Zea mays: one gene and its partners. The protein of the gene in region 2 interacts with the protein of the main gene of each other region in a pairwise test. Links are inferred from orthologs where the notes say so. Each region holds a gene or a part of one and is shown on either strand. Other genes may lie near its edges. The genes, in order: Plastid division protein CDP1, chloroplastic; protein ACCUMULATION AND REPLICATION OF CHLOROPLASTS 3; chitin synthase homolog 1.

What was found.
Region 1: the proteins of protein ACCUMULATION AND REPLICATION OF CHLOROPLASTS 3 (region 2) and Plastid division protein CDP1, chloroplastic interact in binary tests that used the Arabidopsis thaliana proteins (3 or more experiments, as listed by UniProt). The link is inferred for Zea mays from reciprocal best matches to the Arabidopsis thaliana genes ARC3 and PARC6.
Region 3: the proteins of protein ACCUMULATION AND REPLICATION OF CHLOROPLASTS 3 (region 2) and chitin synthase homolog 1 interact in binary tests that used the Arabidopsis thaliana proteins (3 or more experiments, as listed by UniProt). The link is inferred for Zea mays from reciprocal best matches to the Arabidopsis thaliana genes ARC3 and MINE1.

What each region holds. Positions count from the first base shown.
Region 1 is NC_050097.1:1,989,032-1,993,176, forward strand, and holds the start of Plastid division protein CDP1, chloroplastic, read left to right. Parts: upstream 1-1,269; 5' UTR 1,270-1,340; coding exon 1,341-1,589; intron 1,590-1,915; coding exon 1,916-2,029; intron 2,030-2,137; coding exon 2,138-2,275; intron 2,276-2,922; coding exon 2,923-3,027; intron 3,028-3,131; coding exon 3,132-3,254; intron 3,255-3,339; coding exon 3,340-3,708; intron 3,709-3,793; coding exon 3,794-3,889; intron 3,890-3,963; coding exon 3,964-4,089; intron 4,090-4,145. Other genes in the region: Thioredoxin X, chloroplastic, read right to left, coding at 1-170. UniProt on the Arabidopsis thaliana protein: Component of the plastid division machinery required for PDV1 localization to constriction sites. Involved in chloroplast division site placement. Required for the proper formation of FtsZ rings at the division site in nongreen plastids (e.g. etioplasts).
Region 2 is NC_050102.1:152,658,796-152,662,425, reverse strand, and holds part of protein ACCUMULATION AND REPLICATION OF CHLOROPLASTS 3, read right to left. Parts: intron 3,138-3,630; coding exon 3,025-3,137; intron 2,941-3,024; coding exon 2,869-2,940; intron 2,783-2,868; coding exon 2,672-2,782; intron 2,405-2,671; coding exon 2,223-2,404; intron 673-2,222; coding exon 409-672; intron 297-408; coding exon 220-296; intron 147-219; coding exon 1-146. UniProt on the Arabidopsis thaliana protein: Together with MIND1 and MCD1, regulates FtsZ ring positioning in chloroplasts in an ARC6-dependent manner. Z-ring accessory protein involved in the initiation of plastid division and division site placement (might functionally replace bacterial MinC).
Region 3 is NC_050105.1:18,841,283-18,845,463, reverse strand, and holds the start of chitin synthase homolog 1, read right to left. Parts: upstream 2,903-4,181; 5' UTR 2,850-2,902; coding exon 2,742-2,849; intron 460-2,741; coding exon 1-459. UniProt on the Arabidopsis thaliana protein: Acts as a topological specificity factor during plastid division and specify plastid constriction sites (such as the Z-ring) in a MCD1-dependent manner. Especially involved in epidermal plastids division in a FTSZ1-dependent manner.

The DNA of each region.
Region 1 (4,145 bases), on a different chromosome or scaffold from region 2:
GCGCGAGGGCGAGCGAGGCGACCTGGCGCCGCGCGGCATCCGGCCGACCGGAGCTGAGCGAGCGAGAGGCGGAGCGCGGCCGGAAGGCGGGCCCCGCGGGGACCCGAGGAGAACGGCGTGTGGATAGAGGCTGCGATGGTGGACGCCGTGGTGCTCGGCGCGGACGACATGAGCGGAGCGGAGGCAGCGCGCGGGGAGGAGAGGAGAGGAATCTTCTCGAAGGTGTTGCCAGTGGACAGTACGCCACCAGTTCTGTTCCGCGGCCGAGATTTGTGGGCGAGGGGCTGATTTTTGTTTTGTTTTTCTCCCGTAACATAACTCGTCTGAGGCGCGGAATTCGGCCCGGCCCAGAAAAATGAAATTGCCAAGGAAACGGGACGCGAGCAGCCCATTCGACCTATTCGTTTGGAAGCAACGGTCTTTCCGGAATTCAGGCTTTGGAATGAGCCGGCGGTGGACTTTTCGTCCAACGAAATCTTCTCGATATGAGATTTTTCTCTGAGAAACAATCACAAATGATTCTCGACAGAGAAAATGACATCTTTGGTGTGCATCTTGTTAACTTGTTTCTTTCTGCGGATGAAAGGGCAGCTCAGTGCTTGCTAATTGCTGTGTTTGAGCTGTTCTAAATTTTCTGAACCATGATGTATGAACTTCCAAAATGACCATACTACATTATATCATATCATATATTATTTTAAAAATGAAATCACTGGGATAAAAAAATAGAGAAAAAAAAGAAAGGTTAGTTTGAAATATGCCACTCTAATTTTAAAAAGTTGAAAACTAATTTATTTTCATATCCTGCTTTGTCATAGAGTAAAACCTCAAATAGCAGTCAAAATTAAATCATGGTTACAGTTGATTTCCCTGTAATTTGAATATTTACACTTGTACATATCCACACTAAAAAAACTATAGGAACTCCCTACAGTAACTGCTTCAAAAAAATAAATTTTATATCACTCAATTGCATCAAAATAAACTAACCATCTATTTTTTTTTAAAAAAAATTGCAATTAATCCAAAAGAAGAGATGCTGGCTGCATGTCACAGTCAACACCTGAACTGTCTCGTCCAGCATAAACTACCATGCCACGTGTACAAAGCGCGCATGGACCAAGTCCACGGAGAGAGCAAGATCCATCGGTCCGCAACCCCTCCCTCCGGCGTCCGGCTTCGCCATCACGACGCCTCCTCCCTCCCTCCTCTCCTCTTCACTGACGCTTTCTCCCTCCCGTCCTTGCTTTATTCCACCCCCGCAAAAACCCCCGACACCCCGAAAAGCTCACCCCGCACATGGAGAGCTCCGTCTAGGGTTGGTTCCCGGGAGCGCGTCCATGGTGATGCCGACTGTGGCCTCCGCGGCCGCAGCGGCGCTTCACCCGGCGATCTCGACGCGGCGCGCGGGGGTCGTCGGGAACGGCATTGCGTCCGCCGCGGCGGCGGGTGGACGCCTGGCCGGCGGCGGGCGAGGGGCGGTCGTGCGTGCCAGGGTGGCGGAGGCCGCGCCGGTGGCGGCCGAGGGCGGCAGGTTGGAGGCGCCTCCCGCTGCACCCATGGTGGAGATCCCCGTCACCTGCTATCAGGTGAATGGTTGGAGTCGCCTGGTCTGTTTTATCGACTGCAATTTCGAAAACGGCGCTCACCTTCTGTTGTCTGATCGCCGCCGCTTGATCTCGGCGGCGCCATGTCAATTAATTACCTGGGTTGCAGATTGAATCGGCGTTTTCATATAACGAATCGAATTCAATGTGCGCATCCGTAATTGTATGCGCTTCCCTCCCATTTTGAGTAAAAAATATGTGTGACCGCGTTCTGATTTTTCGTCTGATCAGTTCACAATCGATTGGACCATTTGTCCTTTTTAAAAACTTGTTGGTTGACATGTTTAAGCTTAACAATGACCGTGTAGATGCTAGGCGTTACCGAGAAGGCTGAGAAAGATGAAATCGTGAAGGCCGCGATGGAGTTGAAAAATGCTGGGATAGAAGATGGATACACAGCTGAGGTCTCCACTTTCAGACAGGTTCCTGATTAGTTTCTGCAACTATATCTATTTATGTACCCCATGTTTTGTTTTGTGAGGGAATGCAATAATCCTGATGTTAATCATTTGCGTGTTGCCTTTTGTCAGGCTCTCCTAGTAGATGTCAGAGATAAACTTCTGTTCGAACAAGATTATGCAGGAAACATAAAAGAGAAGGTTCCACCTAGGTCCTCTCTTCATATACCTTGGAGCTGGTTGCCTGCTGCTCTGTGTATTTTGCAGGAGGTAATGCATCACACAGACATTTCTCATCAAAATGTCTGTTGGAACCAGTAACACGCTGCTATGAAGTTAATGCTGGTTTTGTTTGGTTGAGACTTTTCACTTTATTTGGCTATGATCAGTGAGTTAGTTGTTATTACAGCGACTATCTTTAATTTTCTCATTGCACCAAATTAAGATATATTTTGTGGAGTACTATCTGTATGTGGTTTAAATCGTACATGTGTCATGTTCTTCTTGGTAATATACAATTCACGTGTCAGGTATTATATTTAATACGCCAAATTATTTAATATAACTTAACAGGAATAAGAGCAGAACTCTGTTAACTTAAATGTCCCTAAGCTTTGAAATATTTATGAAAGGGCGTAGCCAGGTACCTTTAGGATCATGTTTTTCAGTGTGTAAATAATAACTACTGTTCTTTCTTCAGATCAGGACATCAGGCAAGACAGTGTAAAGTGCCAAAATTGTCACTATTGAAAATTTTCCATGCTGAAATGCACTGTTAGCTTTGAAAATCCCAGCACGAAGGATGTCTTAGCATCCTAATTTTCGAAGTTAAACATGCATTTTTTGCTTGCCATTATGTATTGCAATACTGGTTTATTCGCTCTTCATCCATGTATGATGTTTCAGTCTTGTTTCAGGTTGGAGAAGAGAAGCTAGTTTTGGAAATTGGTCAGGCGGCTCTACGACGCCCTGATTCTAAACCTTATGTTCACGATGTGCTTCTTGCAATGGCATTAGCAGAAGTAAGAATAACATAAGGATCTTTTCCATATTTTCTTTAACAGCTGTTTGATGAATTGTTAGGAACTTCTCTCACATTTAGATGGTTCCATGCATTTCGTTGTAGTGCTCTATAGCAAAAGCCAGCTTTGAGAAGAGTAAAGTGTCCCTTGGCTTTGAGGCTCTGGCACGCGCTCAATATCTTTTGAGGAGAAAACCATCTTTGGAGAAGATGCCCATTCTTGAACAGGTGTGATGTTATTACTTCTACATGAACAAGTTCTTCTGAATAGTAAATACAAAATCATGCCATAACTTATTCATTGGTGGTCCAGATTGAAGAATCACTTGAAGAGCTTGCGCCTGCTTGCACATTGGAGCTTCTAAGCTTGCCTCAGACACTTGAAAATTCTGAACGCAGGCGAGGTGCTATTGCAGCTCTCTGTGAACTGCTTAGACAGGGCCTTGATGTTGAATCATCTTGTAGAGTCCATGACTGGCCTTGTTTCTTGGGTCAAGCAATGGACAAACTATTAGCCAATGAAATTGTGGATCTTCTTACTTGGGATACTTTGGCTACAACTCGTAAAAATAAAAGATCGTTGGAGTCCCAGAGCCAGCGGGTTGTAGTTGACTTCAATTGCTTTTACATGGCGATGCTTGCTCACCTTGCATTTGGATTTACAACCCGCCAGACTGAGTTGGTACCCTCTTTTTCTCACTCGCTTGGCAACCTGTAGAAGTTGCTATCTCTTTGCATTATTTTTAATTTGTTTTACATCTGTGCAGATCAAGAAAGCTAAAACCATCTGTGAATGTTTAGTTGCATCTGAGAGCACAGACCTAAAATTTGAGGAATCTTTCTGCTCATATCTTCTTGGAGAGGTTATAAACTTATCTCAATCTGACTAAATTAGCTTTAGTTCCTTGCATTACTAGAACTAATGATTAGCTCTCAGGAAACTGGAACCACAGTATTTGAAAAGCTTCAGCAGCTTCAAAGTACTGGAAGTTCAAATTCAAAGAACTATGGATTGGATAAAAAGAAAGACAGCAGTGGCAAGGTTACTGTCAACCAATCACTGGTATGTTGCATCTGTTCAATTGGAGCAAATAAGCTTTACTATTCTACATTACTTGC
Region 2 (3,630 bases):
TACACCAACAGGAAGAGCGACAGCATCAAGCTCATCATTTTTACTGCTTCCACTTGCCATCACACGCTGCTTAGCCCACGATTGTGCAATATCAAAACCAGGGGAGTTGCTCAAGAAGCGATGTTCCTGCTGTGAAACTAAATGCCCTGTCAATGAAACTTAAGTTAGAAAAGCACAAGCAAACAAAATAAAGGACGTGGTGCACACAAACAATTTTACCGTTGTCATCATCTTTGTTCATTTCTCCAGTAACTGCCAGATCACCTTCCAGAGATTCTGGCTTTATTCTCTGATTCCTAAGACAGAATTGCAGTGCACATGCTTGGTCATAACAATAGTTATTTTTTTTTAAAAAAAAGGAACTAGCTTTCCTGGGACAAAAGGAAAGAAGCCAAGTCTGTAAGTTACCTCACAGATTCCAAATCCTCAAATTCTTCAGGAAATGATTTGGAAACAGTAGCATCAGATGACCGATTAGAAACTCGCGAGAATTCGTCTTGTTCTACAGAATTAAATCTGTTGTCAGGCAGTCGATTAAAGGAATGCTTCGACCTAATTTGTTTCTGCTCAGGGGTATCTCCTCCCATAAGAGAAGATATAAAAGGAAAATGCAAGGCCAAACTTGAAAGGAATCCCTCTTGTACTGTGGAAACACTTCCGTCATAGTGGTTTCTGTAAAAAAAAATTGCAGCACAAAATCAACCACTAATATCAGCAATTGTCACCGATGGGTGAGTAGAGAAAAACTACATAAGTTAATTTTAAAACAAAACAGTATATCTGACCTAGCACAAATTCAAGTTGAGTAAAATGTAGTATCTTTTGCACAACTATTTTTTTAGACTACATACTGCTAGACTACAGTCTATAGCACATTAGCACTGTTCTAAAGGCGTCGCCTAGGCGTCCAGGCGGTGGTCCAACGCCTAGGCGCCTTGCTCGTCTACCTCGCCTAGGCGTCCAGGCGGCAGTCCAACGTCTTGTCTCGCCATACCGCTTTAAAACCCATGGTCTATAGTGATATTTATTAACACCATAATCACATAGAAAAGCTGAAAATCCGTAACAACATGAGACAACATCAGGAAGAATGAGAGTAACACTATTTTTGCACATATCTGTTTAAATATAGAAAGTAACAACTTATGAAAAAAGTAATCAATTAATGTTTCTTTCAAATATACCCTTATCAAGAAAAGAATGAGAAATTGAAGGTCTTTCTCCAATAAAATGGCAGGACAATCTTTTAACCATGAAAAGTGGAAAAAGCATCAGATACCACAACTATAAAGACTTCACTAACGGTGATAAAGATTGCACCATACACCATAGTAGTTATGTGAACTGTGAGAAAGTATATAACACTACCCAGCAAAATAGATGAGTCTCAAAGCAAGAATGTGAAAGAAATGGGAAGGGAATAGCTGAATATACTACCATGTCATACAAGGGGTAAGAAACTCATCCTCATGTCTGCTCAAAGTGTTTTACTAAAAAACATGCTGATGTACATTTATCTCAAGATCACATGATCAGTTTGTTATTCATATATCAATAAGATAATCAACACATGCAATACAACTCAAAGATTTAGCCCTTTTTAATTATCCTTATCTTAGATGATTTACTTAACAAAATGCGAGATGATATAAAACATACATTAAAGTCGTGGACTAAATTCACTAACCAAGCCACGGATTCGACATGTAATTGGACCGTTTTCTATCTATTAGCGAAATGACACGCAGTCGTTTTTTTTTTTGCATTTTAGCCTTTTTTCAAAAAAAAATCACATTTAATCCCTGGATGATTTAATAGCGTTTTTGAACCCTCTTGCTCAGCGCCATAGCACATAGTGCCGAGGTAACACTGCTTGGCGCCACAGGCCATGGCGCCAAGGTCTCATCCTCCCTGGCATCTGAGGACTTCGCTGGCGCGGCCGAGATCTTGGCGCCATGGCCTGTGGCGCCGAGCAGTGTTAACTCGGCGCCATATGCTATGGCGCTGAGCAAGAGGGTCCAAAAACGGGAATACTTCGTCCAGGGCCCGAAACATGATTTTTTTATAGAAAAAATGGCTAAATTGAAAAAAAAAATCGGGCTCTCCTACCTGTTCGAGAAAAAAGTCGTGGAGTATGATTAAGGAATGATAAATGAAAAGGTTCATTAAAAACCAGGCTGATCATTTGAGTTTTCTGTATCAGCTGCTATGCGATAACTTACCGGATAGTTAGAAGAGAAACTACTATCAGTTTTGGCTCTAAATCAGATTCAGAATTTCTAGAAAATATAATATCTTTGGTGAACCCAGTAACTCGACGGAAGATGTGCAGAATAGAGATCAAGTCACTTTCAGACAACACCCGAGCAGTTGTAAGGGAGAGGAAAACCACATTGTTCAAGTCCTACACAAAAATAATATGTAAACAAATCAGTGCAGTCAAAATATAAGCGAGCAGCACAAATATTTCATGGCTACAAATTTCCGCAGATATACAAGTTGCATTGATGCATATGTATAGCAGATTTTGGCCTTTTTGCACAGGCACCGTTTAAGTCAAGATGCCAAAACATAAACAAAATTCCCTTTCCTTTTTAACATTTCGTATAGAATATAGAATAAAGTAATAAACACATCAAAAGTTACAAAAAAAGAAGACAATCAATTCCACCTTTATGCCACCACGAAGAAATGGACAGTGAAAGACAGCCTGCTTAATTGCTGACTGGATGTTATAACCAGCACCAAAGCCAACTCTAGCTTCCCCATAGCTTCTGAGTAGCTGTTAAGTTGTAGACTGTAAGAATCATTTAATAAAAGCTAATGTCAAGATGATGGAACTTAGTAGTAAGGAAATATCTTTATAACCTTGGCTACTTCCTCAGGACCAACTTCCTTAATTTGTGCATTAAGGGAACTCCAGAACATCTTATTATAACCCTGATATTTAGAGAAAAAATGGAATTAAAAAGTAGAGTGCATTATTTCATATCATAGCACAGCGTAGAAGGATTTAAAACTCACAGACATCATGATAGATATCATGCTAATAGTTGACAGGACAGCATTATTGGCACTTTCCAAAGCTTCGGCAAGAGTTTCCACTTCCGTCTCAAGCAATGAATCAGCTTCAATAACTGTGACAGTATAGATGAAACCGTAATTATTTAGACTACAAGCCACTGTTCTTGAATATGGCTAATTACAATAATATTGTGATGCTAGTATTGCATGGAGAAAAAACAGAACTACACGACAAGATTTCACAATAAATCAATACAATGACTATATGCCAATCATCATTCATCAATATCCACACCACCAAAGAGTTTAATATTACTCAAAGGACAAAACCCACTTAGCTTGTCATAACGAATAGTTTCACGTTCACCATCTCATTGTAAAACTTAAGTTTAGCATGTTAAGCAGCATCCATTTTCTTCTTATCACCATCTCAACCTTTGGTGGGACATGTGTGTGCACACCAGGGCCTATACAAACTTATGATCTAGGAACCGGGACTCGGGAGCATAATGCACAACTAGTGAAATATCAGTCCTATTATAGGTCAATTATGAAGGAAGCGGTGTAAATCCCAGATAGGAAACAGTGAGAAAAGCTTCTATTAAT
Region 3 (4,181 bases), on a different chromosome or scaffold from region 2:
CTCTGGCTTCACACGGCGCACAGGAACTGACACAGAGTACACGGTGCCAAGGCCAGCATCAGTTGAGATATCCACTTGGACGTTATCCCTTGATTCTATCTCAACAAACTCAGACAGTGCCTCAATGATGTTCTCCACGATCTTTTTCTTTGCCTCATCACTGACTTCACACCTGTCGGAGAACAGGATCATCTTAAGCCTCTGTTTTGCGATGTTTGCATTGGAGGTATCCTTTGTGGTTGGTGCAGAAAACATTATCTTCCACGCTAATTTCAGACGGTCAAGAAAACCCATGTTAACAACATTGTGAAGGAAGCCTTCCACATCTTGAGTTATAGGAGAAAAATCCTTCCTAGAAAGAGCATAGTTCTGGGTGGAGCTGCGAGAACACCTTTGATGTTGAACACATAGCCGGCTGTGATTGCTAGATGCTCCATGAGGAAAAGTACAAAAATGGCCCTGTAGCATGACACAACTAAAATGGTATGAATTCCAGTATATTCATTGCAAACATGCTAAGAGCACATCATGGTACAAAAGCTAGTGCAATCCCAGTAAGATCCAACTGCCAATCCTAAACTCACCATACTGAGACTTGCAGTAATTTGAATAACGTCAGATCCGTATACTGTAACAGTTCAGCGAGTGGCACAACCACACTAGCTTAGTTGTTTAAATACACACACATGTATGTTGAGTTATTGCATGAGTAAGCATACATTCAGGCCTTCTGTAAACTGAAGAAATATGCACATGAAACAAACCACATTTGATCGAATGAATGAACAGAAAGACACCTAATAGAGCAATGATAACATAACTACAGGGCGGAAACAAACCACATTTGATCGAGTGAATGCATCATATATGCACAAAGTTAGCCTCAGTTCTCTTATAAATCTTAATGACAAAGCCAGTCTACTCTCATGTTGCAATTTCTCATTTCAGCACTGAAAACAAACGATGCTTAACTTGAGGTTTATATCAAAGAAATTGAAAGGAACATGATACACAATATTATACATACAGATTTTCCTCTTTTCTAACTACCTATCCAACAACATACCCTCTAGATCTACCATGTAGTACTGTACTATGAAAAACATGTCAATGAAAGAAAAGAAGGAATCATCCGGTTTGGATAGTGTCAGTAATACTGATATTTGCAAAGTATGAAACGAGATAACCATACTATAGGAGATGGAGGCAGAACAAAGGGAAGGAAAATAAAGAACAGCCCAAAAATCGGCCAGTACCAAGCAAACCTAGACATGGAAATCAGACAGTCTGGTATTATTAAGCAAGGCTAATATTGCTAGCACTATAACAAACACACCGACCTCACAAGCTTAGGGAACCCATGTGAAATATAGGAATCAAACCACTGCCAATTTAAAATTACAGGTACTTTGTCAGACTAAACTCTATATTTTTTTACAATACATTAGCAATTAGCCTACACATCACATATACTGATAACTGATTGCTATGGAGAAGACCAATACGAAAGGAGACAAAGTGGTTGACTTTGAGTTTGGGCAGAACCATCAAATGGGATACAAAAGCTGCACATATAAGCCAACACATAAAAACATGACGAGAAGATCCTTTCACCTAAAAATCAAATACAGGGCACTTATTCATGGTAGGACAATCAGTACACGACACCTCTTTTCTATGACATGATGCTTACATATCAACCCAGATATTTAGAATCCAAAAAACGTACATCCCAAGAATGTTGGGGCAAGCAAAATAATAAAATGTCAAATCTAGGAAAAATGCAGATCTAAAAGTACAGGTAATCCTTAGGCCATGTTTGGTCGGGCTTCTTTGCAAACAACTAATCTAAGAAGACAGAATCTGGAGCAGCCACATTTAGGTGGCTTCACCAACCTAGTACAAAAAAAAAGAGCTTCTCCCCTCCGGTAGGGTTTGGCAAACCTTTTTTTGAACGTAATGGTCCGCCTCTCAATTAAGAATGGAATTAACCCTGTTTTAAGGAAAAACCGGGCCCAAAATCTAACAAATACAAGAAGGTAGCCCAACGTGGAGCAAACACTGAACACACGAAGGGCTAACCCACCAACACGACGCGTAAGAGCACACATAACTGCCATGAGTCATCGCTTCCAAGCTAGATTGAAAAGCAGCCGGTGGCTCCGACTTCCCATGGCAAACCCCGGACGAACCAAACGAAAACAGACAGACGGCTTGAAGTGAAAGGTCGCAACAGGTCATTATTTTGCTTGCCTTAAACATTTATTATTTTGCTTGGGGCTTCAACATTTGGGGCTAATAAACGTTTGGGGCAAGCAAACTCAAAGAGGGCCTTAACGTTTTCCAGAAATGCAAGTGTTCCATGGGCCTACCTCACACCAATGTGGGCACTAAATCTCTATTTTGTCTTGTCAAATTAATTCCTCCATTCCCAGTTCCTAAGATGCACTTGAACATTTAGCCTACCAATCAACATAAAAATGCACTTCGCACATTCGTCAGACTGACACGAGGCAGCCTCACCCACCCATCGGACCTTCAGAGGCATGCACAAACGCCGAAGAGTAACAACCGCACGGCGGACTTCCAGCAGCCTACCGGAGCATCTCCCCGCAGAAAACTGGGCCTCCCGAGCCAATCGAAAGCCGCATACTCGTACTAATTCCACCTCAAACACGCAGGATAAACTAAATAAATGCTAGGGTTTATGGGACGGGGAGCAGCCGAGCAGGAGTCCGAACCTTGGGACCAGCGACAAGACGGAACGGCGGGCGGAGCGAGGACGCGGACGGCGCGATGAGCGCACCGGAGTCGCCGCCGACGCAGCCGCCGAAGATGGACATCGCCATGATGGATGCGACTGTGCTAGGGTTTTGCGCACCAGCCCCTTTTCCCCTTTTTCTTTTCGCTTTGTCCTCAGTGTTGGAGGCTGGTAGACTGGACTCTCGTTGGAATTTGGAAGGAAGTTGGAACGGCTGCATTGGTGCCACCAGCTCGCTTGTGCGATTTGGCTGTGTAAGGTTGGGTGTCTTAAATTGTGTCTCAGAGTGTGTCTAGTGGATGAATGTAAAAAACTCAAGACATGTATCTTGACGAAGACACAGTGTTTTAGCTCTATGTTTGAGACAGGAGACTAGCTGATTGATCACTTTAATTTATTGAATGTTCTGATTGTTACAATGAATATGGTAAGACACATGTTTTAGACATGACCACTGTATTATGTTGTGTTTTATTTGTGCCTTATACTTGGAGTACCGTGCAGCAGTGTCTAGGTTGTACATGCTCTAACCCAAGTTTAGTCACCTTACTTTAGTCACTATTTATTTTTTTAAGACTAAAAGTGACTAAAGTCTAGTCATTAAATTTTAATCACCTCAAACTAAAGAGAGTCTAACTTCTATAAGAATCACTTTAGCCAAAACTGTCTAAAATCAATGTGAATATATAATCGACCGACTTGTTGCGATAGTAGTAAACTGTCACTTTCAAAATCATAAACTCTATAGACTTTTTTATCTTCCTCCAAACGTAATTTTCACGATATTCAGAATCTCTCCACAGTTAGATTGGTCAGGCCAACTACTTGCGTGTTTGGTTTAAGGATTTAAAAATTTCAATGTTTTTCAAAAAAAAATCAAATCTATTTACAGCCCATTTGTTTTTTTGGACCGAAACACTTATCAATAACTTTGATTCGATCTTATTTTCACTCTCCATTATTTTAGCATGCCACTAATTCTTACCCTAACACCAAAAAAGTTGTAGAATCCTTTTCACTTCCAACTCATGAGCAACCGTGGTGTCGTTGTCGATGACGACAACAGGGTGGGACAAGGCATCCATGGGGCACCAAACGTGTGGTCGCTTGTTAGTGGCGGTGGCAATCAAAGAGGTGTCGGCTCGAGAAGGCCGAGTAGTGGGCTCCGTTTGGCAGTGGCATGCGAAGGCGGGCGGCAGTCACCATCGCGGTGGACATTCCAGCAACACCACCACCCCCGCTAGCCAGCCATCACCACTGACAACCACTAGCGTCGAGGGAAGAGCCAACGAAGTCTTCTAGAGACAAAGCTTTGGTAGGAAGGGAGGTATATCTCTAGGTTGGCGAGCGGTGGAGACCGAAGAGGGGAGCTTGAGCTTGCTTTGGGTCGCGGTCTTTCTGCTTCGGGGAGTGCTGGATT